Linked DNA regions of Coturnix japonica. The main gene of each other region encodes a partner of the protein of the gene in region 2 in a complex. Links are inferred from orthologs where the notes say so. Each region holds a gene or a part of one and is shown on either strand. Other genes may lie near its edges.

Evidence for each region.
Region 1: the proteins of MED4 (region 2) and MED31 are in contact, whole or in part, in a cryo-EM structure (PDB 8TRH), measured with the Homo sapiens proteins. The link is inferred for Coturnix japonica from reciprocal best matches to the Homo sapiens genes MED4 and MED31. Residues at the interface, in NP_054885.1 of Homo sapiens: Glu147, Tyr151, Arg154, Ile155, Asn159, Ala160, Val161, Cys162, Ala163, Pro164, Trp167, Arg173, Arg174, Pro175, Tyr176, Pro177, Met182, Leu186; in NP_057144.1 of Homo sapiens: Gln19, Glu23, Gln26, Cys27, Ala29, Asn30, Pro31, Ala64, Lys65, Tyr66, Leu67, Lys68, Tyr69, Pro70, Gln71, Asp98, Ile102, Trp105, Gln106, Tyr108, Ser109.
Region 3: MED4 (region 2) and MED18 share a complex: the UniProt entries of both Homo sapiens proteins name them as parts of the mediator complex. The link is inferred for Coturnix japonica from reciprocal best matches to the Homo sapiens genes MED4 and MED18.
Region 4: MED4 (region 2) and MED12 share a complex: the UniProt entries of both Homo sapiens proteins name them as parts of the mediator complex. The link is inferred for Coturnix japonica from reciprocal best matches to the Homo sapiens genes MED4 and MED12.
Region 5: MED4 (region 2) and MED13L share a complex: the UniProt entries of both Homo sapiens proteins name them as parts of the mediator complex. The link is inferred for Coturnix japonica from reciprocal best matches to the Homo sapiens genes MED4 and MED13L.
Region 6: MED4 (region 2) and MED13 share a complex: the UniProt entries of both Homo sapiens proteins name them as parts of the mediator complex. The link is inferred for Coturnix japonica from reciprocal best matches to the Homo sapiens genes MED4 and MED13.
Region 7: MED4 (region 2) and MED8 share a complex: the UniProt entries of both Homo sapiens proteins name them as parts of the mediator complex. The link is inferred for Coturnix japonica from reciprocal best matches to the Homo sapiens genes MED4 and MED8.

What each region holds. Positions count from the first base shown.
Region 1 is NC_029534.1:8,576,362-8,580,591, reverse strand, and holds the start of MED31 (mediator of RNA polymerase II transcription subunit 31), read right to left. Parts: upstream 2,801-4,230; 5' UTR 2,640-2,800; coding exon 2,630-2,639; intron 1,429-2,629; coding exon 1,351-1,428; intron 761-1,350; coding exon 664-760; intron 1-663. UniProt on the Homo sapiens protein: Component of the Mediator complex, a coactivator involved in the regulated transcription of nearly all RNA polymerase II-dependent genes.
Region 2 is NC_029516.1:150,967,448-150,969,855, forward strand, and holds part of MED4 (mediator of RNA polymerase II transcription subunit 4), read right to left. Parts: intron 1,952-2,408; coding exon 1,865-1,951; intron 761-1,864; coding exon 629-760; intron 1-628. UniProt on the Homo sapiens protein: Component of the Mediator complex, a coactivator involved in the regulated transcription of nearly all RNA polymerase II-dependent genes.
Region 3 is NC_029547.1:21,930,463-21,933,982, forward strand, and holds MED18 (mediator of RNA polymerase II transcription subunit 18), read right to left. Parts: upstream 2,266-3,520; 5' UTR 2,153-2,265; coding exon 2,080-2,152; intron 1,914-2,079; coding exon 1,360-1,913; 3' UTR 501-1,359; downstream 1-500. UniProt on the Homo sapiens protein: Component of the Mediator complex, a coactivator involved in the regulated transcription of nearly all RNA polymerase II-dependent genes.
Region 4 is NC_029519.1:2,315,195-2,318,694, forward strand, and holds part of MED12 (mediator of RNA polymerase II transcription subunit 12), read right to left. Parts: intron 3,213-3,500; coding exon 2,983-3,212; intron 2,538-2,982; coding exon 2,457-2,537; intron 2,234-2,456; coding exon 2,060-2,233; intron 1,723-2,059; coding exon 1,578-1,722; intron 677-1,577; coding exon 558-676; intron 408-557; coding exon 264-407; intron 1-263. UniProt on the Homo sapiens protein: Component of the Mediator complex, a coactivator involved in the regulated transcription of nearly all RNA polymerase II-dependent genes.
Region 5 is NC_029530.1:10,336,921-10,341,190, reverse strand, and holds the start of MED13L (mediator of RNA polymerase II transcription subunit 13-like), read right to left. Parts: upstream 2,801-4,270; 5' UTR 2,699-2,800; coding exon 2,627-2,698; intron 1-2,626. UniProt on the Homo sapiens protein: Component of the Mediator complex, a coactivator involved in the regulated transcription of nearly all RNA polymerase II-dependent genes.
Region 6 is NC_029534.1:6,204,635-6,208,134, reverse strand, and holds part of MED13 (mediator of RNA polymerase II transcription subunit 13), read right to left. Parts: intron 2,982-3,500; coding exon 2,891-2,981; intron 2,721-2,890; coding exon 2,506-2,720; intron 2,118-2,505; coding exon 1,921-2,117; intron 723-1,920; coding exon 1-722. UniProt on the Homo sapiens protein: Component of the Mediator complex, a coactivator involved in the regulated transcription of nearly all RNA polymerase II-dependent genes.
Region 7 is NC_029523.1:17,388,685-17,392,811, forward strand, and holds the start of MED8 (mediator of RNA polymerase II transcription subunit 8), read right to left. Parts: upstream 2,801-4,127; 5' UTR 2,721-2,800; coding exon 2,715-2,720; intron 775-2,714; exon of another isoform or gene 757-774; coding exon of another isoform or gene 751-756; intron 290-750; coding exon 171-289; intron 1-170. Other genes in the region: KICSTOR complex protein SZT2, read left to right, coding at 2,801-2,830, 2,964-3,089, 3,196-3,369, 3,972-4,127. UniProt on the Homo sapiens protein: Component of the Mediator complex, a coactivator involved in the regulated transcription of nearly all RNA polymerase II-dependent genes.

The DNA.
Region 1 (4,230 bases), on a different chromosome or scaffold from region 2:
AAGGTGCACTAGAACTGGAGTCTCCAGTATCTCTCCATTATTTTAGTCATTTAGTGCCTTACTCAAGTACCTGAAACAGTGAGCGCTGTACCTTTTCCATACACTGTAACTTAATACCTTCAGTAACTACAAGGCTAGAAAACAGGGAATCCAATAACAATATAAATACATACACGGAGCTGATTAAAATAACTTTTATAAATACTAGATTTCATTAAAACAAAAACTAATTAATTAAATAGCTCTTTCCAGAGCTCATTTGAAGTAAACAAAAAAAATTTCAATAACTGAGTTTAAACATTAATTAAAAAAATGAAAAAAAACGATTCTTTGTGTAGCTATCAACAGGGCAAAAATCACTCTCAGAATGTTCTTAATGGGCTGAAGTAGTTTTGTCCCGTGATGTTCAGTAATCTTGCTTTATGCAGATAGAAGGTGCAGATAAAGGTTGCAAATGGAAAATTCCATGCATATGTCAAGAATGAAACGTTCTTTAATTGTGCCTATCCCAGACTACAGGAAACAGGAAAATTTATACTGCATATAAACACAGTGCATGTTTTGGCTGCAGGGAGAAATCAAATATGCACATGCTACTTTACAGTGCATAAGAGAAGGTAAAAATCATTAAAATGCAGAAACCTGAGGGCTTTTAATACTTACTTCAAGTATTTTGCATATTCAGGTTCTTTCCAATACAGTAAATATTTAAGATAGTTTACAAAAGCTTTGTCTTTGAAGTATCCTCTTTGTGCAAGAACTGAAATAAGAGACAAGGAATTTTTTACAACTCAATAAAAAAAAAACACAAAGGGAAAAATATATCTTAAGTCAACACTCTAATACAAGTTAAGCATAGTGAGTTAGCATATAACTTTTATACAGCAACAAGGATGCGATGTCTTCAAAAATAGGAACTTCTGACATCAAAACTGTCAGGGAAAACCAAAGAAATTAAGAATTCCACCTGAAACTATTATAAGCATTAGTGAAATGTTGGTTTCAGATATGAGTACTTCTAAGATTGAAATGTAATTATTATTATTTATTTTCTACTACAGATGTGCACTTATTCTCCACCAGACAGTTGTGTTTTATTTCAAGAAATAATCATTTCACATTTTAAAGGTGTCATCTCCTCCCTCTTCTACCTCACCTTTGAAATTCGGACAAATTAAATTATCCTCAGACTACTTTTTTCCTTAAAGATCTCTTCCCTTTTCTTTGTTTACCCTTCGCCTCTGCACACACACACACACACACACACACACACACAGTTTACCATTACACGTAATCATTAAACTGTTAAATAACATTAACTTCTCAGGATCCCTGACATTAAGTACTCACAGTTGAGGTAATTGGGATTTGCTAGGCACTGAACAAACTCCAACTCCAACTGGAACCTAAGTCGATTTCCTGTATCATCTGAATACAAGAGAAAAAAAAAAAACAGTAAAAACTGGACTTACATGGCAGATTTAAAAGTAAGTTTCTCAACTTGAGCCACAAAAATAGAAACGTTTAGAGAGGAGATAAAGCACCAAGAGCCCACAAGTATGGGCTCATCTAGCAGTCTTTTCTATTACATGAATAAGTGTTGGGCCCATGTTAATACATGTACTATTGTTTGTTTGTTTTTTTAACAACTAAAAACGATGCAAATAATGGAGAAATGCTCTCTGACACTTTATGTAGAATATATGAAAAGGGAAGGGAAAGGGGCCTGCTTTTAGTGCAAGGAAAATATAAGAAGGCAAGAAAAGAACACTACCAGCAGCTCACTGAAAGCCTCCTTGCACATAATTTAAGAAATGCTTACCGTGAGGCTGCTTTTTGTTTTGTTTGTTTTGTACAGAGATGTCTCAGTTTAGTGAGAATCCTGCAGTGTTCTCACACTATTGGTGTACAGTAGGCACTGATGACAGACCCAGGGGTCAGCACAAGATTCTGCTGTCCTATGACAAAAGGGTGAGGGAGCTGGGCTTGCTCAGCCTGGAGAAGGCTCAGGGAGATCTCACTCTGGTCTTTCAGCGTGGAAAGGGAGCTTATAGAAAAATATGTTGACTTTCCACCCTGACTGAAAACAACAGAACAAGAAGGAACAGCTTTAAACTCAAACAATAGGAAACTCAGGTTAGATGTTAGGAAGAAATTCTTCTCCGAGGGGCGGTGAGGCCCCGGCACGGGCCGCCCCTCTCTGTGGGGGCCCCATCCCTGGAGCTGCACAAGGGAAGGCTGGAAGGGGCACCGCGCAGGCCGCTCTGGCGGGAGGTCCGATCTGTAAATAAAGTCCCCTCCATCCAAACACTCGGGGTCTATAAAAGATTCAGCTCCTCGACCACAGATGCAACGTGGGATGTCCGCTGCCATGGCGTCCGGGCAGGTAAGAGCCGCGGTGTCTCCATGAACGTCGCGAAGGGCCCCAACGGGGCCAACGGCCTGAGAAGGGCCAAGCCGGGAGGGCAGCGCAGCAGGACCGCCCCGGGCCCCTCCCGAGGAAAACGATTCGGAGCCTGTCGGCCCATCGCTCCCGAACCGCCCGAACTCTGCACGGCAGGACCACCGACGCTCTCCGTGGCCCGGAGTCGCTCGCCCTGCCCGAACCGCACCGCACCGCGCCGCTCACCTGCGTCCATGGCGGCGTGCTGGGCTCCGCTCCCCGCCCGGCCTCAAAATGGCGGCGGGAGCGCCCGCTGTCGGCAGGCGGGAGTTAGGCGGGAGGCGCAACGAGGCAAGATGGGAAGGTCTGTGGTGGTGAGGAGCTGCGTTAATGATGCGAGTTGTGTAGAAAATGACCTTTTGAAATAAACTAAAGTTGGAGCAACTTTTTTTCCCCTTGTCTTGAAAGAGAGCTGTTACCAGACAGGCAGTACGATTGGAAGGTACCTGTAGGAGCAATGTTCTGGGATGGATTTTTTCCTAGGCATGTGTGTGCTTTTCTTTCTTCCCTTTCCCCTTTTCCTTTTTCCCTTTTCCCTTTCCCTTTTTCCCTTTTCCCCTTTCCCGTTCCCTTTCCCCTTTCCCCCTGGCAGCTCATGCTGAGCTGATCTCACACAACCTCTGCAGTTTATTTATTAAGAAGTTATGTCGTAGTGAAACCAGTTAAACAGATGCGCCAGGGGTGCAGAACAGCACTATGCTATTGCACCTGGAGAAGAGTTCAGCACTTAGGTTGCAGATTTATTCCTAATGCTGCATTCATGTCTGGGGTCACACACTGGATGTTCATATCTTGGTTAAAACAAAGACTGGTGGGGTTTAGCACTGTCAAGCTACCTGAGTTCCATTGCTGCTATGATTGCATTATTAGGCACTTGTGTAACAGTTTGCACTATACAGGCTCAACACGAATCCTAATTCTTTTTTAAAATTTGTGATTTGTTAAACTATTTTCAGTGTCTCAGCATTTTCCTGTAGTGCTATCTCTTTCTATGTAGTGTAACTGTTCCCCTCCAGCCCCAATAGAAATTAGGCTATAAGACCACCTAAAAAAAGACTTCTGCATTGCTTTCCTTAATAAAATAATTTTGTGTTTTGTTTCTTTTTTCCCCAAGGTTTTAGTGGTTGTGGAGTACTACCATTACTATAACAGAATTAGCAGGTCACTCCCCAGTAAATACAGACTTTTGTCTAAAAGCAGAGATCAAACATATCCCACGCATTGGCAGTGCTATTCTGGAACACGATGTATCTCCCAAGACTGACTTCAGAGGAGAGAATCCTAAGAAAGGCTTGGTCACATGAATTAAATTACTACGTAGGTTTGCCAGAGTAAAGTGCAAGAACGCAATTCTTGGCCATCAAAACTAGGAACAAAATTGAAAGTTGGAGTCATATTACAAAAACTAAGAACATTCTCTAGGAAAAGCTGGATTTATTTATGCTTTTAAATATTAGCTTAGTCAGACTTTCAGGGAAGAGGTATTAAGCTGTGTGTTTGAGCCAAGAATTTTCCTTTTTATCATCATCAAATCATAACATCACTGCCTCAGTTTCACTTTTTATAGGAGCTGAACTGCTAACCCTATTCTCTGTTTGAGCACTGGTGCTGAACCCTTGTTTTCCTAATGCATTTTGAGAGCATGCTCATAGTAGATCTAGATATAAAACAGCCACTAGCTAACAAACAGATCAGATAAGGTTTTCTACCCAAAGCAAATAAAGCTATTCAGAGTTTAAAATTACACTCCAAAAAGGGACACTTTGCTGCAGTAGTAATTCTAGACA
Region 2 (2,408 bases):
AAGGGCATGGAGTGATAAGATGAAGGGAAATTGCTTTAAACTGGAAGAGGGTAGACTGAGACTAGATATTATGGATACATTCTTTACTGTGAGAGTGGTGAGACACTGGAACAGCTGCCCACAGAGGCTGTGGATGCCCCCTTCCTAGAAGCATTCAAGGCCAGGCTGTGAGCAGCCTGGTCTAGAGGGAGGTGTCCCTGCCTATAGCAGGGGGTTGGAACTAGATGATCTTGAAGGTCCTTTCCAACATAAGCCATTCTACAGCTGTGCTTCAACTCCTCTCATTGCCCTGAAGGCTATCCCATGAAAGAGACCAGCTTTGTCTCACTTATAACAAGAATTAAAGATAATCAGAGCCAGAATAGAACAAAAACCACCCATGTGGAACAGGGTAGTTAAGTGAGCTTTCCTCATATTTACTCTGTTCTAGTGTTTGCAGTATCGTTTAGAATGCAACAAAAAATATTTAATTTCTGTTACCTTTACCGATTAGTCCTTCACTGCTAAGGAACAACACTGGCCATAATTTCCATTTTTACTCTGATTTCCCATTGCAGAGACACATTTGTAATTACTCTGACTATATGAGGAATAAGAATAATTAAATAAAAAATTGAACTTTTCTTACCTGGCAATCTGCCCGCTGCAAGTGCATCCCCTGGTAAGTGTCCATTAACCCCATTGGTGGATGGGTTGTTCATCTGACCCAAGAGACCACTCCTCATTTCTAGATCTGTAGGATATGGCCTGCGTGGATCCCCTATTAATAACGACAGTGATAATAATTAGATATTAATTAGAAAATATTATCATCTTTCTCTTCTGTGTCTGGTTTCCTGTCTGGATCAAGAATGAGCATCACCCCTATTCTATTAAAACTGGAGACTTTTCTTGCTCATTCTAACTTGTCACAAAAATTACATTACAGTAACTTCAGAATATCTTTGCTCTCTCTGTTACTTGACAGCTAAATAATTATGGGATGAACGCACTAAATGTACTCCTGTCAAGAGGGACTCATGGATGAAAAATTGGGCATGAGCTGCCAGCACACAGTTGCAGCCCAGAAAGCCAATTGTATACTGAGCTGCAGCAGCAGCAACGTGGCCAGAAGACTGAAGGAGATGGTTCTCCCTCTATTCTCTACTCTTATGAGACTCCAACTTAAGTACTATGTTCAGCTCTAGGGCCCTCAGCATTAAGACATGGAGCTGTTGGAGCTGGTGTAGAGAAGTGCCATGAAGATTACCAGAAGGCTGAAGCATCTCTCCTATGAAGAGGGACTGAGATAGTTGAGGTTGAGGCTTTGGGGAGACCTCACTGCAATCATTCAATACTTAAAGAAGGCTGATAAAAAAAGATGGACAGAGCACCTTTTTACAAGGGCATGTAGTGATAGACTGGGATTAGATATAAACCAAATTAGATCTAAAAGTAGATTTACATTAGATATAAGCAAGCCATTCTTCAATATGAAGGTGGTGAAGCACTGGAACAGGTTGCCCATGGAGGCTGGGGAAGCCCCATCCTTGGAAATACTGACAGTTGCGTTGGATGGGAGCTCTGGGCAACCTTGTCTAGTGGAGGGTTTGAAACTGGATGGTCTTTAAGGTCCCTTGCAACCCAAGTCATTCTATGACAAGTTGTCATGGTTTTGTAACGTTGCTGTCAAAATTCCACATCATAACATCATGTGCAGTATGGATCATTAAATTTCTTCAGAAACCCTAGATGTAACAGCTATAAAAATATACATATCTTTAATAAATCAAACTGTCCTTCATTGTGTAAAAACATTCTAAAACCAGATACTGATTGTGCTCTATTATTCAAGAACAAGAATAGTCATAAGCACGATATTTACCTGGTACCCACGTCAGAGGGGCACAAACAGCATTACTAGCACTGATCCTGTGGGCGTATTTAATTATTTCTTCAGATGAAATGGCACCTGGAAGAAGGAAGAAAAGTTCCTGTATTTAAGAGACTGCATCGTTTGATTATTTCTGAATATTGGATGGTTTTTCATACAGAAAAAATTAGGAAAGTCATTCTGTCAAACATCAAAATATGCTTCAAATGCAATGACTGATCAGAGATTCAGAACAAGCGTCATAGTGAATTCACTTTCCAGCCACATGTTCCGTATACCTTGGAGTGTTAACAGGTCTTCAGCCTTTTGAAGAAACACAAACCAGTATCTTCCACAGTGCACTTGACAAGCACATTGTTAAAGAAAATTTCAGCACTTTTACTACAGAAGTTCTGCAGTAATTAAAATCTCTTTCTTCTTCGTAGCTGTAGTTATACATGTACGCAGTAGACCTTCCCCTAATAAATACACTTGTATTCAAGTTCCTCTAATAAATACACTTGTATTAGAGTTACTAGAATCATTCTGAAATTCC
Region 3 (3,520 bases), on a different chromosome or scaffold from region 2:
CCTTGGGTTGTGTCTGAAGCTGTATGCCGCTTCATACACATACACTACAGTGTATGTAAAGCACTTAGCAGAAAGCAGCTTGACTGTGTTACCGAGGTTGCTGAAGTGAAAGCTGGAATATCCACATAAGCTGTTGATGTGTGAAACGTCTCACCCTGCACTCGCATATCAGAAGCATGTTAGACAATATAGAGTGCTTCCAAAGTTGTACTTCAGCTTCTGTGTTCATTTGTACAGAAATAACAACATTAGGGGAGAGTGTGTGGGGAGAATGGAGACCCAGGGCTGAGGAGTGCTGGAGATACAGCAACATTCGTGCTGTTAAAGCATGACAGCGACTGACAGCAATTGGTGTGTTTTAGTAAAAGGCAGCGTGGTTGTACGTTTCCATAATGATCTTGAGAAATGAAGACTACTTCATGTTTGCCCAAAATACTGGCTTGTATTGAGTGAAAAAGAATTGCAAAGAAAATACAAAATTAATGCAAATAGCTGACGGGTATTTTTGAAGATATATTTTTAATAAAACATACAAAGAGCACAAAAACACAGAAATAGTGGGATGCCTGACCTTGCTTTTGTGAAACTAATGCATCGTGCTGGGCTGATGGAAGTGGCTGTAAGCAGGAAGGAGCCTCTCTGTGCAGCCTGCTCCACGTCACCCCCAAATGAAGCAGTAATTCCTCACTTTGAGATGGACCTTCCTGTGTCCCAACACTGGGCAACAACAGTCAAAGCCTGGCCCCATCCACCTGACTCTCTACAGGCACATTCGGGGGCACTGGGCTCAACTTTCTGAGCCAACATATTGGCTGTGAAGGGTCTTAATTCTGTTTCTTCCCCCCAGGTTATAATTGCAGACCCAGAGCTTCCTGTTCTACACTAACAACAAAGCTGCTTCCAATAACAAACAGCTCCCAGTCTGGATTTGCTAGGAGGGAATCTTTCAGGTCTTTCAAATCTAAAACTAAGCAATTCCTGCAACTACTCCTTTCAGACATCAGGGACCGACTATCCAATGAATAATGCACTAAACAGACTTTTATTCTCTTCCATCTCTGGGAATTACATACATTCTGCTCTTATGCATATATGTAACCTGCATAACCAAATACCAAATGCTGGCTGAGCATCAAACAAAAACAAAACCAATACATCAAAGCCTTTTACCCCTTGCTCCCCAACAACATAAAGTCAATATCTCTATTTATAAGTGTTGCACCTTAATACTGCTTACTGCTCCAGCACAGAGAGGAAGCAGTGGAGCCCTGAACAAAAGTTCTGTGTGCATAGGACTCCAACCAGTCCCTGCACTCACTTCTGGCTACAGCAATGCTATGATAGTCAAGCCAGTTTTCATCACATTAACCTCTTAGGGTCAATTTTTTCCAGGTGTACTAAAGGCTTCAGCTGCTCTGCAAAGTTCCTCATATCATCAGAAACCATATCCTGTCCGGCTGGTGCCACAACATTAAGCTCTACAAGGTAGGAGAGGGAAAGCGGCTCGATGCTGTCCGTGTTACCAGGCATCAAGATACGGAAGATCTTATACACCACAATCTTCATGATCCCCTTTCGGAACACGTGTCCCTTAGCCACGAACTCGTGATCCATACGGAACCCCATCTCCACCAGGAAATCCGTCAGGTTGTCCGAGGTGGCGATGTCCACACAATTTCGCACTAAAGCGTGTCGGTTTTTATCTCCGATCTCCGGCTGCCCCAGGTACCTCAGGTGCCATGGCATGCCGCTTTTATCCATGGATCGCCGGGCACGCAGCACGAAGGGGCTGGCCTGCTGCCCCTTGAGCAGGAACACCATCTCGTGGTCCAGGAAGGTCTCCGGCTCCATGTTGTCGCACAGCCCACGCAGGCGGTGCAGCAGGCTCTCCAGGCTCTGGTCCAGGACGCTCCCTGTGGTGGACACACACGGCTCAGACGATGGCCCCTTCCCCGCCGCAGCGCGGGGCCGAGGCAGGCGGCGAAGGGGCCTCCGCGGGGAGGTACCTCCCCTTCGCCGCCCGCCTCGGCCCCACGCTGCGGCCGAGCCCCGTGTACAGCCCCTGTGTGCCGGCCATACCTTGCAGCAGGTACTCCATCATGTTAATAGTGCCGCCCGTAACGGGCATCATGGTGACGGGAGGCGCCTCCATCTTGGCGGCTGTGGTAAAGATGGCGGCGGGAAGAAAGGCAAGGCCTGAAGGAGGAGGCGGGCGCCACAGTGCGGCCTGGCGGTGAGGAGCAGCCGAACATCGACCAGCTCCCTTTCCTCCTCACAGACATCCAGTTATTCATCCCCAAGCACACAGCACTGCCCCTTAAAGGCAGATGTAAAGAAGGCATCGAGGAACTCAGCCTTCTCCTCCTCAGAGAATCCCAGCCTTCTCCTCAGTGATCACGTTCCCCGCTGCATCAAGTAAAGGTTGGGCATTTTCCTTGGTTCTCCTCTTACTTTGATGTACTTGTAAAGGGATTTTTTTAATGTAACGGCTTCTGCAATACCAGGTGAGAAGTGCTGGTATCACAGACCCACTTCAGTCTTTAATACTGCACTGTATGCTGGACAGTTTTCCTTAACCTTTTGTTTGCTAGGTTATTTCACTGCATCATGAGGTAATCTGAAAGTATCACAATTAAGCCAGTAAATCTAGGATTATTTTACTCAAACTGAAAAAGAAGTTCTGTACCAAAATGTACACGACTTAGTCATAATACAAAATGTTAATTCTACAGCCAGTTAAATCCATCATAATGAACGTTGAGCCACTGTTTATTGTCAGTACAGCGTTACTTTAAATAAGCTCACTGAGTGAACACAGAAATAAAGTAGATCTTCCTCAAATAAAGTGACAGCTATTAACAATACTCCAGGAAGATGTGCATCCATGGTATTTGCATGCTGTCGTAGCATATCTAGCATGTAGTACGTCTTCATGCTTGCACAGCAGCTTTGTGAGCTCATTACAATAATGTTGATTTGGTGATGCACTACAAGACAACCCATATGACTTACATTGAAGCTGAATTTTAAAGAGCACCTCTGCTAGACACCCGTTTAAAAGCTCCACCACATTCCTGTAGCGAACACATCTAGGCCAAACCACTGATCTGCCACCACCTCTGCCCCCTAAGAAGATCATCAAGCACATGAACAGTTCTCCTCCCATGATCAGCTGGACAGGGTGATGCTGACAGCAACCTTCCAGAAGGTGAATCAAACCAGAACACGCCTGTGTTTTCTATATTACATTAAGAACACCTGAGACTGCTTCACTGGTCCAAGTACAGAATTTTAATACAAAATCTGTTGCATTAACATGACATTTCACTGAATTCCCTTAATTAGTACATTCCATTAAAAAAAAAAAATCTTAAAATAAATATTCCCCCTCAAAAAAGTTTAAAAGGAATTAAAGCAAAAAATAAAATAAAACAAAAAACAAAACAACCCCAACCCTGTAGTATTACAGAACAGTGTGATTTTCTGACTTCATTTATCTCAGTGTAAGCAGTAGATTCAC
Region 4 (3,500 bases), on a different chromosome or scaffold from region 2:
GAGGTGCAATGTAAATCCTTTGGAAACAACCCTGAAAACCTTTGGAAGAATAATCATTCCAACAGGGCACATAAGACTATCTGCTGCAAACAACCCATTCCTAACAGCTGCAGCCCAGGAGAACTGCAATGACTATCAGTTCTGACCACCTCCACAACACAGGTCAGAGAACCCTAACAGAAGCCCAGCTATCACAGCACGTATCTCCTGCCTTTCAGGCTGATGAACTGATTCCCCAGGGAACACTTCAGCACTGTGCTTACCTGGATGGCAAAGTCGATAAGACCACTGATATTGAGTGAATACTCCATCAAGTCAAAGATGAACTGCACATGCTGTACCAGAGGCAGGTGGTAGGACATGCCCAAGGCAAAGCTGGTGATCTGTTCCAAGACATTGCGGGATACCTGCAAGTGTAAGGTGACACATTGTGCTATCTCCCCTTGCAGAAGCCCCTCAGCAGCCCCAACACCTCTTCCCTGCAGGAAGCTGTCCTCAGTAACACAAAGAGATTCAGTCAGGGCCCAAAGAGGACAGCAGTCTTGAAGGTTTCATACCTGAGATGTGACTTGGTGCTGATCAAAGTGAGAAAGGTGCTGGAACTTTGCAAAGATATCTTCAGCTGTTGGGAATGCTTCTGGCTTGCTCTTTTTCCTCTTCTGGCCTTCCTCTCCACCTACAAAAATTGAGAGGACTAGAAAATAGTATCAGGCTACCTTCCTCATCAGAAGAGGAATAGAAAACAGTCATCAGCACATGCCAGGCCCTCAGCAAGACCAGACACTGCCAAGCAGCATGGCCAAAGAACCTGATCCTCCACCTGTAAGCTGATAAGGACCATTATGAATTCACAACAATAAACTGTCAAGGGAAGAATTTCTAGCCAAAGAATGACAGCACAGTTAACATCTAGCTTATCCTGAGTGAAGGGGGAAAATATATTCCCCCCCATTTAGAAGAAACACTGACTCCCTGGTGAGAACAGTTGTTCTGGACTGGAGATGGCTCAGCCCAGAAGCCTGTTAGAGCATGCCACCTTTGAAGAATCACACCATGTTTCAAGTTGGCTTTCAAGAATCAGGCCAACAAAAAGAAAAAAAAAATCCTGAAGCCAGATTCTCAATCAATAGAAATTAGAGGTTTCCTAGCAGTATTGACACAACTATCCAAACCTGCCACCCTAACCAGCATGCTTAGCATAACAGCACACACTACACTGAATCAGGGTATTTGCCTAACATTCACAGGCAAAGCTCCCGCTGCTTTTGTGCAAAGATTTAAATGGTAGAGCTTAAGAAAATAAAGTTTGAAAATGCCACGATTTTCGCCAGGGTCTCACTCTGAAACTGACATGACTTAAGCACCTACCGAAGAAGGTAGATTCAATGGAACACATCTAGGCAGGAGGAAACAAATCTTATTCGCTGCTCATTATTATTTGAGAACAGAGCACCATCCCAGACAGTCAGTGACTGATACAGCCAACCAGGCACTGCAGATCATATGAAATCCTTTCATTGTGAGACTCCAGACAAAGGAGGCAGTCAACTGGAAAGACTGGCTCAAGCAATACTGACCTGTCTCTGCAGTACTCTTTCTGTTTAAAACTTTTAGGATGTCTTTGGTTATTTTCTTGATTGTATGCCGAGCATCGTCCCGTTGTTTTCCAACCCCAAAAAGAACTACCAACCGTTGGTTACATTCATGACTGCATGATTCCTCCTGGGGAACCAAGAGAAAGAACTGCATTAGCAACTATCAAGCTGAATACTTTAATCTTGTTTCACATCTGGATCTCATAAAAGCAAAGAGAAAGCTTCATCTCAGAAGCTGCTCTGGGAGTAAGCAAAGAGGTGTCTTAAGTAGATCACTCTCCTGCAGCAATGCAGAAAAACATGACTGCACTCCTCACCCACCCACAGTAACAGAACAGAAAGAGATCAGGTTCAACTCTGTTCAGTCAGGTTCATGCTTACAGTAGTGCTGCAGGGAAACACAGCAGCCTGGTTATCAGAGCACAAGGCAGCAGCAGGAAAAGGGTTACGAGCAGGTCTCATACCTGAGGAATAGGAAAGTGTGTTGCATACTGGATGTGTCGAGGCTGGTCATACAGAGATGCTAGCATTCCTTCTGCAGACTTGTCCTTCAGCAGAGGCTTTGCTTCCTTTTCAAGATCTGGTTTCTCAGGGGAAGGGCTGGCTTTAGATTCACAATGCATTGGAGGAGAAAACATCTAGGAAGGTGCAAGAACAACAAATCAGTTAGGGAACGTGGTCATGCCATAATTAAGACAGGTGAAAGAAGCCAAGAAGAACTTTTCACAGTGTCTGCTACCTTACAAGTTAGACACTTCCAACATATCAGCTCTACAGTAGAGAGGGAGAACCCACACATGTCCCTGGTGCTAGCACAACATAATCTACTTATGAGTAGCAGGCAAAACAGCAAGCACATACCGAAAAATCTGTTTTCTCCATGTCATCAAAGATCGTGCTGGAATTGTGGTCAATGTCCATAGGCTCAGAGAGACCCGTGTCCTGAGAACAGACAGAGCAGCTTTACATCTCAATAATACACCAGGAAACAAGACAAGACTCATTTACTGCAGCACCCCACTTCCATGTTGGACAGTGACAGCAGTTTGCCAACAAGGATGATGCCTGGCAAACGAAACTCAGCCAGAATCACATATGCTGCAAACACCTGACAACACAGACTGGCCTTGCATAGCACTTGATATGCTGCTCAGAGTAAGATTTTCCTGTCTACCCTGTTACATTCTGCAAGACCTTTCTACCCACTTAGAACACAAGCCTCTACTTTTGCAACTGAAGTGCTAAGGAAATAGCTTGGGGAAATGAGAAACATGAGTCACTGGTCCATCTTCCAGCAAGTAATAGCAAGGAGTCTGCAAAGCTGGTATGAGTGGAGAAGCAGAACAAGAGGAAGCACATAAAAGAGCTGCGTATCTTGTATTCTCACCTCTAGCTTGATCCCACTGTTTCCTTCTGTCTCCTTCCTGTCATGCTCCTCAGCAGGGTCATCAAAGGGTGAGGGAGGACGAGGTCCATGAGAATCCATGGCAAGATCACCCCGGGAGATGAGTGTGCACATGTAGATATTGTGAGAGAAGACATCATGTCGGATTAGCTCACAGAACAGCAGCACCAGGTTAAAAAACTCCACCTTCTCATTCTCCTTCCCAGGATCAGCTGAAAGGAGAGCAAAGACAGACAGTGCTATCAGAGTTCCTCCGTAACACTAAGAGCAGCAGCAGATACCACACCTACACCCACAGAGAAAGCATTTCTAGAGATCTCAATACTCTAAGTGACTGATACACAGTTCTGAGACTGCAGCAGAAGTCAGAACCAGAAAGCCCACCTTCAACAGGTGGCAAATAAAGAAGTGAAAATCTTTCCATTTAGAGGTACAGGATTTTAGACTGAAAGTGCCATCCCTGGGTATACAAACACACAGTTCCCCGCATCATTCAGAAT
Region 5 (4,270 bases), on a different chromosome or scaffold from region 2:
CTTGAACACCACTGCTGGTGCCGGACATCACTTCTGATATGTGCACGATCAGAGCTCATTTTATAACCTTAAGACTATGCCTTCCCCTCAGGTGGCATATTTTAAACTAAGAGCCTCTACACATTCCGGGCACCACTGACAAAACGTAAACAGTTACTAGAAAGCTTTAGAAAATATTTTTCATGACAGTAAGATACTTCCAGGAATATTTCCCCATGAAGACTCAAACAAACAGCAGTGCCACCATCTCTCTAAAGTCCATCTACAGCTGACAGACAAACAAGCTGGAAATGATGGGGTGACAAACACCCCAAAGCCAACCTCAGTCGTACAGCACAGCCCAGCTCCTCCGACACAGGAGCTGCTGTTCCTCCTTAGACAAAGGGAATGTTTGTGGGGAAAAACATTGCTTCAACACGAACAAACAGAAGTACTATTTCTGAACTGTAATTCTCCAGGCAAGAACATTTCTTTTTGACTCAGGCCCAAAACGAAGCTGGAGATTTACAATGAACTGTAATACTCAGTGTCTAATGGCAGAATGGGTTTCATACAGCTCAGTAATTCACCTCACTCCTACAAAGTGAATGAGTTCCCATCAACAGCTGATTCATTTGTGCATGTTTCTGTTCTGTTGCACTGAAAGAGTAAGTGATGAGCAAAACTTTCTCCCATTAGTAACCCCAACTACTGCACCTTTAACACTTCATAAGTTTTTAAATGAGTAGGACAATTTGAGGCTGTAAGGTCAGTTCTGCTGGCCACGCACTCCCAGTCCCTATTTCCTTCTTCAGTATCCTTCACTGATACATAAACCATAACAAATATCAATTTACCTGAAAACAAATCACACCAATAGTTAGCACATTTGTATATATATATGTATATGTATATATACATATATGTGTGTATACATACATACACACACATACATACAAGTATATACATAATGGATATTCTTCTGTTTGCAAGTAGACCCTGAAAATAATAAAATCATTACAGCTGGATGCACAGTACCACATTACAGGTATGGATGCCTCCCACAAAATTACCTGAGAAACAAAGAGATCACAAATTAAAATCATAATTACTATGAAGCCCACCTGCATTTTGACGGGATCACAGCCCTATTTGAAAAGCTCCCATTTCCCCAGCACAGCAGGGTGAAACACAAAGCAGACAGACCACGCTGCAGTCACTATGTAGTAACTTCAGATCATGACGGATGCCAATTGCATGCCAACCATTATTTCTATTAACCAAAGGCAGACCTGCAGTTTGCAAGTATGTAAAGTTACACACCTCAAAAATAATCACTTTTCCATGAATAAATGGGGACCTCACGGCTCCGTACACAAAGCAGAGAGCACTCCGTTCCTCTGTCCATCCATACAGCCGTCTCCCTCATGCTCACCATTCTTCCTTCACATGTATGAGCAGTACATTCAAAGTCCCCACAACAGCTCCCACAGCTCTGCACACACAGCACTGCTTCCTACATGCAGTTACGGCTCAGAGAGCACCGCCAAGGGAAAGCCCATGCACAAGGCCAGGTGATGGAACAAGTTCATGAAAAAGCCAAAATTAGACTTGCATTCATTCCCACAGAAGGAGGCCGGGACTCCTTTCCCAGTAGCTGAGCGCTGAGGGCTCCTGCTCCACATTCTCCATAGGTATGAACAAAGTAACAAATAAGAGCAACAAAATAACAGAGAAGCCAGCAGACGGAGGCATAACAATGACACACAGCAATGAAAAGAAAAACGTTCAACAAAAACATCATTCACATTTCCAGTCCATTTTCTTCTTTCCCTTCCTTCTTGCAAGACAACCAACAGCACTCCCCTCCTTTCTGCTGGAAATGAGACCCCACCACCACCAGCCACATCCAGCGCTCACAGAGGGGAAGGGCCCAACGCCCCCCCCTCCATCCCCACCCCGCACCGTGCATTCCCACACACACATCAAGCCCCCAACCCCACCTGGCTGCCAGCCCCCCCAGCACGGCCATGCCCAGCCAGAAACAGGGGCTGTGGGCAGCAGGTGCACAGCCTGCTGGTAAACCGGCTTCCAAGGGACGCTGCTTCTGCGTGGAAACAGCCAATAACATAATTCCTGCACCATTAAACCAAACAATCAATCCAAGTACAAAGTTGTCCATTACCAACGACGGAGAAATACAGCATCAGTGCTACCCGGCAGACAACATCTTCGGTTGTTTCACCCCAGGGATGGAATAAATGATTATTTCTGCACCCATGGTGTCCCGGGGCAGGCACTGTGCCAGGCGGGGCCGTACCAGGATCTGACAGCGGCCCGAGACCCGCGCAGCGCCCCGTGCCCGCCCGCTGCCGCCCTAATGCTGCTGTCACAGCGACAATAGAGCAACCCCGGCCCGGGGGCACCGAGCGGAGACACGGGGAGACACGGAGAGACACGGAGAGACACGGCCGAGGGCGCCGCGCCGGGGGAGGGGCCAGCGGAGGAGCAGCCCCACGGCCCGGGCTATAAAGCCCCCGGCAGCCGCACCCGGCGCCAAACCCGCAGCGCCCGGTGCGAGCCGCCGTGCCGGCCCGCCCTCCCCACAACCCCCACTTCCCAACCCCTCACCTCCTCGGGCACTCACCAGCGAGAAGAGATTGGAGTGGCAATCCTCCAGGCTGGCCCCGTTCGCCACCCAGTTGGCCGCTGCAGTCATGATCCTCGGCGAGCCCCAGCGCGGGGCATGTCTGAGGAGCGGGGCCCGGCGGCGGGGGGAGGCTGCGGGCGCTGCCGGGCGCTGCCCGCTGCCCCGGGAGCGCTGCTGTGCCGGCGGGCGGGGGGGCGGCGCTCAGGCGGCTCCGGCGGGGGCCCGCTCCGGCGGGGGCCCGCTCCGGCGGGGGCCGCTCAGCAGGCGGCGGCGGCGGCGGGCAGCCCTCCCGCGGGCCTCCAGGCCGCCTCAGCACCGCGGAGGAGGTAGAGGAGGAGGAGGAGGAGGAGGAGAGGGGTGGGGGGGCCCGGGGCCCTTCTTCCGCGTCCAGCGCCGGCCCCCCCGGCCGCGGCGGGGCTCGGGGCTCCTCCCGCGGTCCGGCGGCGGCCCCTGCGGGGCGGGGGAGGGCGGCGGGCAGTGGCGGCGACGGCGGGCGGGGGGCGCTGTGCGGAGCCCGTGTCCCTCCCCGCCCCGCCCGGCCGCCCCTCGCTGCTGCCGCCGCTGGCGGTGGGTGGATGGTGTTTTCCTCCTCCTCCTCCTGCTGCCGCCGCCGCCGCCTTGTTTACGCTCCGTGCGGGTCTCCCGGTGCTGCGGGAGGCGGGCGGCGGCCCGGGCCCGGAGTGGGAGCGCTGTCCGTGCCCGTCCTCGCCCCCCTCCGCCTGGCGCTGCCCGCACGGCGGCCCCGCTCACCCGCTCCTCCTCACACACTCGCCTCTGCCTCTCTCCACTCTGACAGCAATGGCGGCCGCCAGCCGCAGCTCGCTTCGCCATTGGTCGGCGCCTCCCCACGTGACTCGCGGCGGAGGGCGGGGGCACGGCGCTGGGGCTCCCCCCGGCCCCTCCCTCCTCCGCCGCAAAGATCCTCCGCGCCGCTGGGGGCGCTGCGCTGGGGGCGCTGTGCCGGGAGCTGGGAGCTGCGGCCGGCAGCGGAGCGGGGCCATCGACCCCGGGCGGGGGAAAGTTGCTGGGCGCCGCCCTGAGGGCTCCGGGCGGGAGGAGCGCGCTGCGGGCGGGGGGCGGCCTCGGGGCGGCCGCTGTGCGGTCGCTGTGCCGCCCCTTCCAGCCGGCGGTGTCTCGCAGCACCTGCCAAGTCCGCGAACTGGATCCGAGAGCGGGAACGCACGGACTGCCCCGCAGGGTCCCGCTCACAGCGAGAGCTTGGCCCGGCTCGTAGGGCCTCCAAGTGTCCGGAGGAGCTTCGCACACCGATGTGGTGGGACTGGTGTAAAGGGACCTGGGAGATACCCGACGTGTGGAACTCGGCTATGAAATCACGGAATCACAGCATCGTAGGGGTTGGAAGGGACCTCCAGAGAACATCGAGTCCAACCCCTGCCAAAGCAGGTTCCCTACAGCAGGTCACTCAGCTCAGCGTCCAGGTGAACCTTGAATATCTTCAGAGAAGGAGACTCCACCACCCCCCTGTGCAGCCTGTCCCAGTGCTCCCTCACCCTCACTGTAAGGAAGTTCTTGCTCACATTCATGCAGAACTTCCTATGCTCCAGTTTCTGTCCATTTCCTGCCTCCACACACTGCTGAAAAGAGTCTGGCCTCGCCACTTTTCCCCGCACACCTCAGATA
Region 6 (3,500 bases), on a different chromosome or scaffold from region 2:
CAAACGGTGAGAACAAGTTGGTGCATTGATCTTGCAGCAACAGTATTAACTCATCAGGCAGTTTCTCCGGTTCTTTCAGTCCTGCACTGCCATGTTCAACAGAAGTAGCTCTGAGAGCTTCGAAGCGTTTTTCTGCTTCTTTGCCACACTCTGTGTTACGTCCTAAAATATCCAATTCATCTTCAAGAAACAGTCCAGAACTGTTGCCAAACTTCCTATTCATCACAGCACTGAAACCACAGGTACACCGATACTGGGCCTCTTGTGTTGGATCGGGAATGTAAACTCCAACATCAGCACCTTTGATGTTCATATTGCAAACGCATATGCAGCAGCTGTCAAAGTTACAGTCTTTGAAGAGATTCATTACAGACTCTGAGAGGATGAGATTCACGTACAGACTGTGTGCCTCTGGAATGGAAGGCACAGTTGCAGGTTCAACAGAATTAAGTGGTCTACACGTCGATGGCGTGGAAGCTGGTGAGTATAAATCAGAGTTCTCATATTTGACTGAACCCTGCGCACTTGCCGGTCCACCAGCTCCACGAGGAGTCCGAGGAGTCCTTGGTGTTCTGGGAGTTGGGAAACGAGGGGTAGAAGGAGAAGGGAGAATTCCAGCTCCACCATTACTGGGTGGTGCACTACCCGGGGGCATTCCAAACGGAGTATGAGTTTGTGGTGTGTATGCAGGGCCATACTCTTGATCCATAGTGCTTCCGTCACTGATAGGAGCCACAAGAAGAAAGAAATACTTTAAATTTCAAAGCCAAGAAGTCAAGTCAGTCTCAGATTGCTAAACAAGGACCTCCCTAATTAATATTTGCTTTTTTGAAGTAGTCTTTCACAATCTACAAAAAGATTTTCATTCCCTAAGGAGCTTCTAGAGTGTTTGTTCTAAATGACTTTGCAGAATTCCCATTGTCAGTGCTGTTAAAGAATCCTTCCCCTCCTCCCTTTCTTGCCTTTTTCTTTCCACAAAGCTTCCAGGAAACAAGTGTAGACAGTAAGAACTACGAGTTCTATGGATATACAGAGCCTAAAGGGCACCTCTTCCCTTTCATGTTTTATTTATACGCCGTGTTGACACACAACACTAAGAAAATATACTGGGTGTACCAACAGCAGATTCAGTTCGATCCATGGGGAAAACATCACCTGGAAGTGTTTAAATTCTTTTTCCCCCCTAAGTAGTTGAATAACTCCAAAGACCCGCAAGACCGATGAGACTTGGGAACGTACTGCTTATGAATAGCCTTAATAGAAGGAGCAATTACACATAAATCAGAATTCACACACTTTTTTTCCCAATAAACACACAGCCTCCTTGTTGCCTAATCTCTCTATAGAAGTTAATACTGTAGAAGAGAAGGAGGAATAAGTATTTTCTTCAAGTGCTGCCAACAAAACCATCACAACCAAATGCAGATTATAAGAATGCCTACTGCAGTGCTAGTGTTAGCAGGCAATGTCGTACTGAGTATAGCTTTCAACCAGAGGAAATGTTGTTCTGGCCAAATACAGCTGAGATTATGGCCATTTAAGAAAATAACTTAAGAAACAGAAGAATAACCTATGAAGCCTTTGCAGTACCTACAAAACCACAGCAAAAAAAAAGAAGTCCCAAGTTTACATGCATCTTGATCATTACTTATTTAAACACTGGACTTCCACCAGTAAGCTTCCTCAAAAAGCCTTTAAATGAGACAACAAATAAGATGTACACACAGTTAAGAAGCTATTGGGAAGATCATCTCTTGCTGTAAGGTTTACGTGTAAAGTTTTTTTCAATCTCCTGTCAGTTGTCTGAACAAACTGCCTTGATAAATTTCTTGTTACATGCTTACAAAAGAATAAAACGGAGGAGTACTTTCTATGTTGTCAGTAACTCAAAGTCTCACAAAGATTAAAGATAATTCATACCCATCTTTGATAAATGGCATGGCAGGTCCTGGAGGAAGCAAATCCAGCTTCCCCACAGTCCAGCTCTGGCGATATATGCACTCTTCTGGCAGTTTGATGGGAGGGAGACACTGGCTGGGAAGAGTCTTCAGTGGTGCAAACATGGAACATCCCACTAAGGCTTGGCAGTTCTCAGGTTTATAAACATAGGAATAATCCTAGAAATTACATACGGTAAAGCATCAGCATGTGAATTAGATGATATCAGCAATTAAAACACTTCCTAAAAAGAAGGACTGAATAAAAGTTGAGATTTTCACATTTAACATTTGCACTCAGAAACAATATGGCGATATAAAAGAAGCCATGAATTCAAGTTACCAATATGCATCACTTAAATTTCCTGATGGGTAACTTGAGATTATGCTGTCTTGAAGTTTAAAATAGTTAAATAGTACATGTAGTTTTCTAGATGCATCTTACCTACCCCCTCAGTAGGACACAAATTACAGACTGCACATAATTTCCCACAGTTCTTACTCAGGATTAATTAATAGACTGGGCAGTACCCATAAGAAACATATCAGGGCTATCAACACTACCTACCTTTATTTCAGCAGGTTTGGGGCTGCAGAAACCCTCATCTACTTCAATCCTGAACTGAGCTCCCATACTGGAGCTATTCCCTTCAAGTACTGTTCCTCCAAGTGTAGTGTCCATACTGCCATATTCCTTATTATTCATGTTCATTGGAGAAAATCCCATGATGTGTTGTTCCAAAGAAGGTGGAGTTGGATACATTTTATGGAGATCTGCAGTGCCTAATTTCAGATTAGAAGTAGGCTTTAGAATGCGACAACATTTAGAGTTATTTCCTTTGTCTTAATATTTCAGTAGGGCAAAGGAAGCATATGCTTCCAAATTCCCACAGCATATTAGCAATTAAATGTTTAAAGCTAGTATTCTAATTAGAGAAGAAAATAAAGCTTACTTATGCATGACAGCGGATCTAAATTTCCTGCTTTTGCCTCTTTGCAGTTGGATTTGTCATCAGCACCATTCACTGTTCTTTTAGATCCAGGCTATGAAAAAAAGTATTGCAATAAAATCACTACAGGGACAAACACATTCATTTTTGCCTCTAACAACAGATTTCACATGTAATGGACACCCAAAACTGGGACTATAAGCAAAATAAAATAAGCCAGAAGCCTAACACTGGTACGTGGGGTTACACTTGTCTTTCCTTCACACTTGTATCTCAGAATGCTCCGCCATAAAATCACAGTGCTATTAACTCTCAGCCTGTTAGCAGACATTAAAAAACCAACTAAGTAAGGCTACCTACAATCTCATAGATAAAACATACAAGCTCCCAAAACCATGCTAATATTACTGATTTTACCACATGAATAGGAATAGAATAGAGAAACAATTGCTAGAACAAGAGGTACGGGGAAGAAGCAGCATTGAAATTAAAACAAGAGATATTTTACAATGTTTAGACAGCACTATAACCTACAGAAAATAAGAGTCTCCATGCTGAAAAGCAAATACACTTGCTTTATGCTTAATATAGTAATGACCTTTGATGGCTGTTA
Region 7 (4,127 bases), on a different chromosome or scaffold from region 2:
ACTGTTTTTCGGGTGGGAGATACTCAGTAGTTTCACCAACGTTAACATGAAAAGTGAAGGTAAGCCTGTGGAGAGCAAGTTAGTGGCTTTTAATTACACTTTTTGGGCAGAGTCTAGAAGAGCTTCAGCAGCGATCAGTGACAGTGCCCTGTCTCTGTGGGATGCCTTACCATGTGAGTCGATCGTACTCATTCTCCAGCTTGTAGATAAAACTGACCAATGAGTTCTTCAGGTCAGCCACCTGGCTGATGAGTGCCTCCAGGGTCAGCTCCAGCTGCTTCTCCTCTCTCTGAAAAAAAGAATGAAAGATAGGGGTGAGGACAAAGCTTTGTACCTTTCCAAGGACTGTGGGGATCCATACATCTGCAACCATATTCCACCCTCTCCTATGGAGAGACTCCTCTTCAAGGCAAGGAAACAGAGACCACGTAGATAAAAATCCTACATTTTCACACTTATCTTGTCTCCTTGTAAGAAACATTTAGGAAGAGACTCGTACCTGAGCCAACCCATGGCTAGCTGTCATTTTTAAGATCTAGATAAGTAAAGCCTATACATCACTTGCATCAGGCAAAGTCATCAAAGTTACCTTGCACCACCTCCGTGAGTTATTCATGCTAACCCAGCTGAAAGCAGATTAGCATTCTCAGCACCCTTTGACAGCAGGCACAGTGATGTCTTCACCCAGCACAGCCATTTGCAAAACAAGTATCAGATCAGTGGCCCAAAGACTCCAGTTTCTGCCCTTACCCTCATCTCTCACTTTCTTCCTGTCCAGGTGCTGCATCCAGCTCCTAAAAATTCCTTGTCCCTTACCAGCTGTGGAAGGCGCTGCAGTGTCAGTGACGTAGTTAGACACATGCAGAGATCACCTGCTGCCTTTTGCCTTGGTGCACTGCTTAAATAATCTTCTCCCCTAGCTGAGAGGAGTATGGTGACATACAAAGCAATAGGAGAGGAGACCTGTTGTCACATATAGCACAGAATATCTCCGACTCTTGCGAAAACCCTCTAGAACCTTATCTATTCTTACTCATTCAACAGAATTGCACAAAATGTAATTAAAGCCCCAATCCTAATGGACTGCTAATGTAAGTCAAGGACTGTACAACAATAATCCACGAGGAGGGTGAGACACAGCAATACAGTTAAATAATAGAAAGGGAATGCTGATTGGGAAAGCAGATGGGGTGACTCAGTCTGCTTGCACGCTCACTATTGGGATCCTTGTGCTGTTTAAACAAACTGAAACTAGCATGAGATCATCAAGTATCTTCCACATTTAAGAGAACATGAAATTATTCTACTCACGGTCTGACAAGACTATAAAGGTTTTGTTTTTTTTTCCATAGACTGCTGATAAGACTTCACTACCTTAGAAGAAATGGCAAAATAAATGTGGCTAAAATCCACTTCCAATCCACAGCATGGATTAACAGAGCAAACCACGGGGTTACAACTCACAGCTACAGCACTGCAGCTCTCCGCCATCCTGTGATGGGACTAGTCTGTTCCTGTGCACTTAAGAAACAAGTCTAACGCTGACTGTGCACGTTGTGTTTGAGCAAGATGAACCACTGACAGCACTACGAGTTGGGCTGGGAGCCAGTATCTCACTGCAGAGGTGGCAGGTACACACAACCAAGACAACTGGTGTGGCCCATTGCCAGCGCGTATCCAAGAAGCCCTAAAGATTGTGAATGAAATCACACTACACTGTGTGACAGTGCAGTCTGAGCCTCCTCCTTTTGTGTGCTCTCTCCATGAGAGCTGGAAGTAAGTTTAAGCACCGCAAAGCACACGTGCACCAAGATCAATGATTCAAAGAAATACTCTGCCTCTCACAGACATATACAAGCAGCAATTCAAGGAGTCTGTTAACAATACTGAATTGTCCCAGGGTAATAAAATAGGATTTACGGGAGAGACTGCTGAAGGAACTCCTGATAATGAATGACTGGGAGGTAAAGGTGAAATTCAGAATAAACATAAAGCAATACACACAATGAAACAAAGAGAAATAAACAACCCTGACTTTACACACACACAATGACATTCTCTGAGCTGATAACATTATCACTCACAAACAAGATCTGAGGATTATCCGAGGGTAACCCAGGGAAACATCAGCCTGAGGCTCAAGAAGTCGAGGAAATCAAAGTAATAATGGGATTTATTAGGAAAGCAAGGGATCCTGTCACTGTTACCTGGGAGAGGAGGCCGACCTCCACCCCATTGTAAATATTTGGAGAGTTTAAGGGAGTCATGGGGTCCCTCTGAGCCTCCTTTTATCCAGACTGAACCATCCCAGCTCCCCCAGCTGCTCTCTGTAATGCCTCCACCCCTCACTTTCCCTGTCGCAATCTCTGGACACGCTCAGGTCTCAATGCCCTTCTTGCTTAAGGGGCCCAGAACAGAACGCAGCACTCGAGATGCGGCCTCAACCAATGTCAGCACAGAGGGACGCCCACCACCCCGCTCCTATAGGATACACTGAGCCTCCACGAGCCAAGATACCATAGACCTTCTCGAACAACTGGGCACACTGCTTTACTCCTCCAAAGCCCGGCCCACGGGGCACAGCGGAACCCCATACGGGCCTACTGCTCCCTCTAGCCTAGCCTAGCCTAGCCTAGCCTAGCCCAGCCCAGCCCAGCCCAGCCCAGCCCAGCCCAGCCCAATACAGCCCTGCTCAACCCCATACAGCCCCTCACCTGCATGGCTGCGCGGCCCTGTTGTTATGGCAGCCTTCCACTTCCGAGTCAGGTCAGAGGGCGCGGGGCGGGGCCGCCGGGCAAACATGGCGGCTGCCGAGAGGCCCGAGGCTGAGGTGAGGGGTAACGCGCTGCGGGGCGAGGGGAGGCGGGGTTGTTTGCGGCTTTGAGACCGGGAACTGTGTAGAGAGGTCGGGGGTTGTGGTGGTGCCCGGCCTGGAGTGACGAGGCGCTGTGCTTCTGCTGCAGGTGGAGGAGGCTGGGCACGTCTTCCTGTTGATGAAGAAGGACTATCGCATCTCCCGCAACGTGCGGCTCGCCTGGGTGCTCAGCCGGCTGCACCAGGTCATCTGGGCTGTGCCCGAGCCCGAGCTGGTGAGTGGGGGCCGGGGGTGCTGCAGGGTGGATGGTGGCCCTGCATCTCGGCGTGTCCTTTGGCTTGGAGTAATGTTTCATGCTTGTCGTTCGCTTCTTGTTGTAGTTGAAGTCAGAAAACGAGCTGGATGTGCTCAGCATCCTGCCCAACGGATGGCAGCCGGATGAGCCCGTCCAGCCCCGGCCCTACCTCTTGGTGCCCTCCACGCGCGTTACGTTCCTGGCCCGCCAGTACCGCTTTGTCATTGAGCTCGATCTGAGCCCTTCCACTGGCATCGTGGTGAGTCCAGGAGCTGCCTCTCTGGGGTGTTTTGTGTTAAAGGACCAGGCTTGGTTCCCTCTGCTGAGAACATGTGTGTCCCTGCATTAGTGGTCACTCCTGCAGGGGTCCTGTGTTCCTGAGGGCTGAAGCAGGCACTGCTGCTGGCAACACAGCCTTGCAGTGGATCCTGTTTCCTTGCAGAATGTGTGACCTCTGCTTGCAGGGGTCGTTCTGAGGCAGCTGCTGTTGCAGAAATAGGCTTGTACTTGTCTCTGTGTGGTGGGTGCAATGAGATTGCAGATTCCAGAAGATGTAAAAGCTGTTTTGTTTACCCCATGCAGTGCTGCTGATTTAGGGGCTGTGGCTGAGAGCTTTATGGAGGGAGAGGATCTAGGAGTGTTAGCTGACAGCTGGCTGAACATGGGCCAGCAGTGTGCCCAGGTCTCCAAGAAGGCATCCTGGCTTGTATCAGAACTAGTGTGGTCAGAAGGACTGAGGAGGTGTTCAAAAGCTGTGGAGATGTGAGGTGCAGTTAGTGGGTGTGGTGGGAATGGGTTGATGGTTGGACAAGGTAATCTTAGCTATAATGATTCTATAATTCTCCTCTTCTGTTTCTGTAGGATGACTCAACAGGAGAGATCATTTTTGATGAAGTGTTTCATGCTCTTTCCCGATGCTTAGTGGGATTGTTAAGGCCCTTCCGAATCCCTGGTTCAGACATTATTTATCAGCCCGAGATCTTTGTCACCATCCAGGCGTACTCCTCCATCATTGGC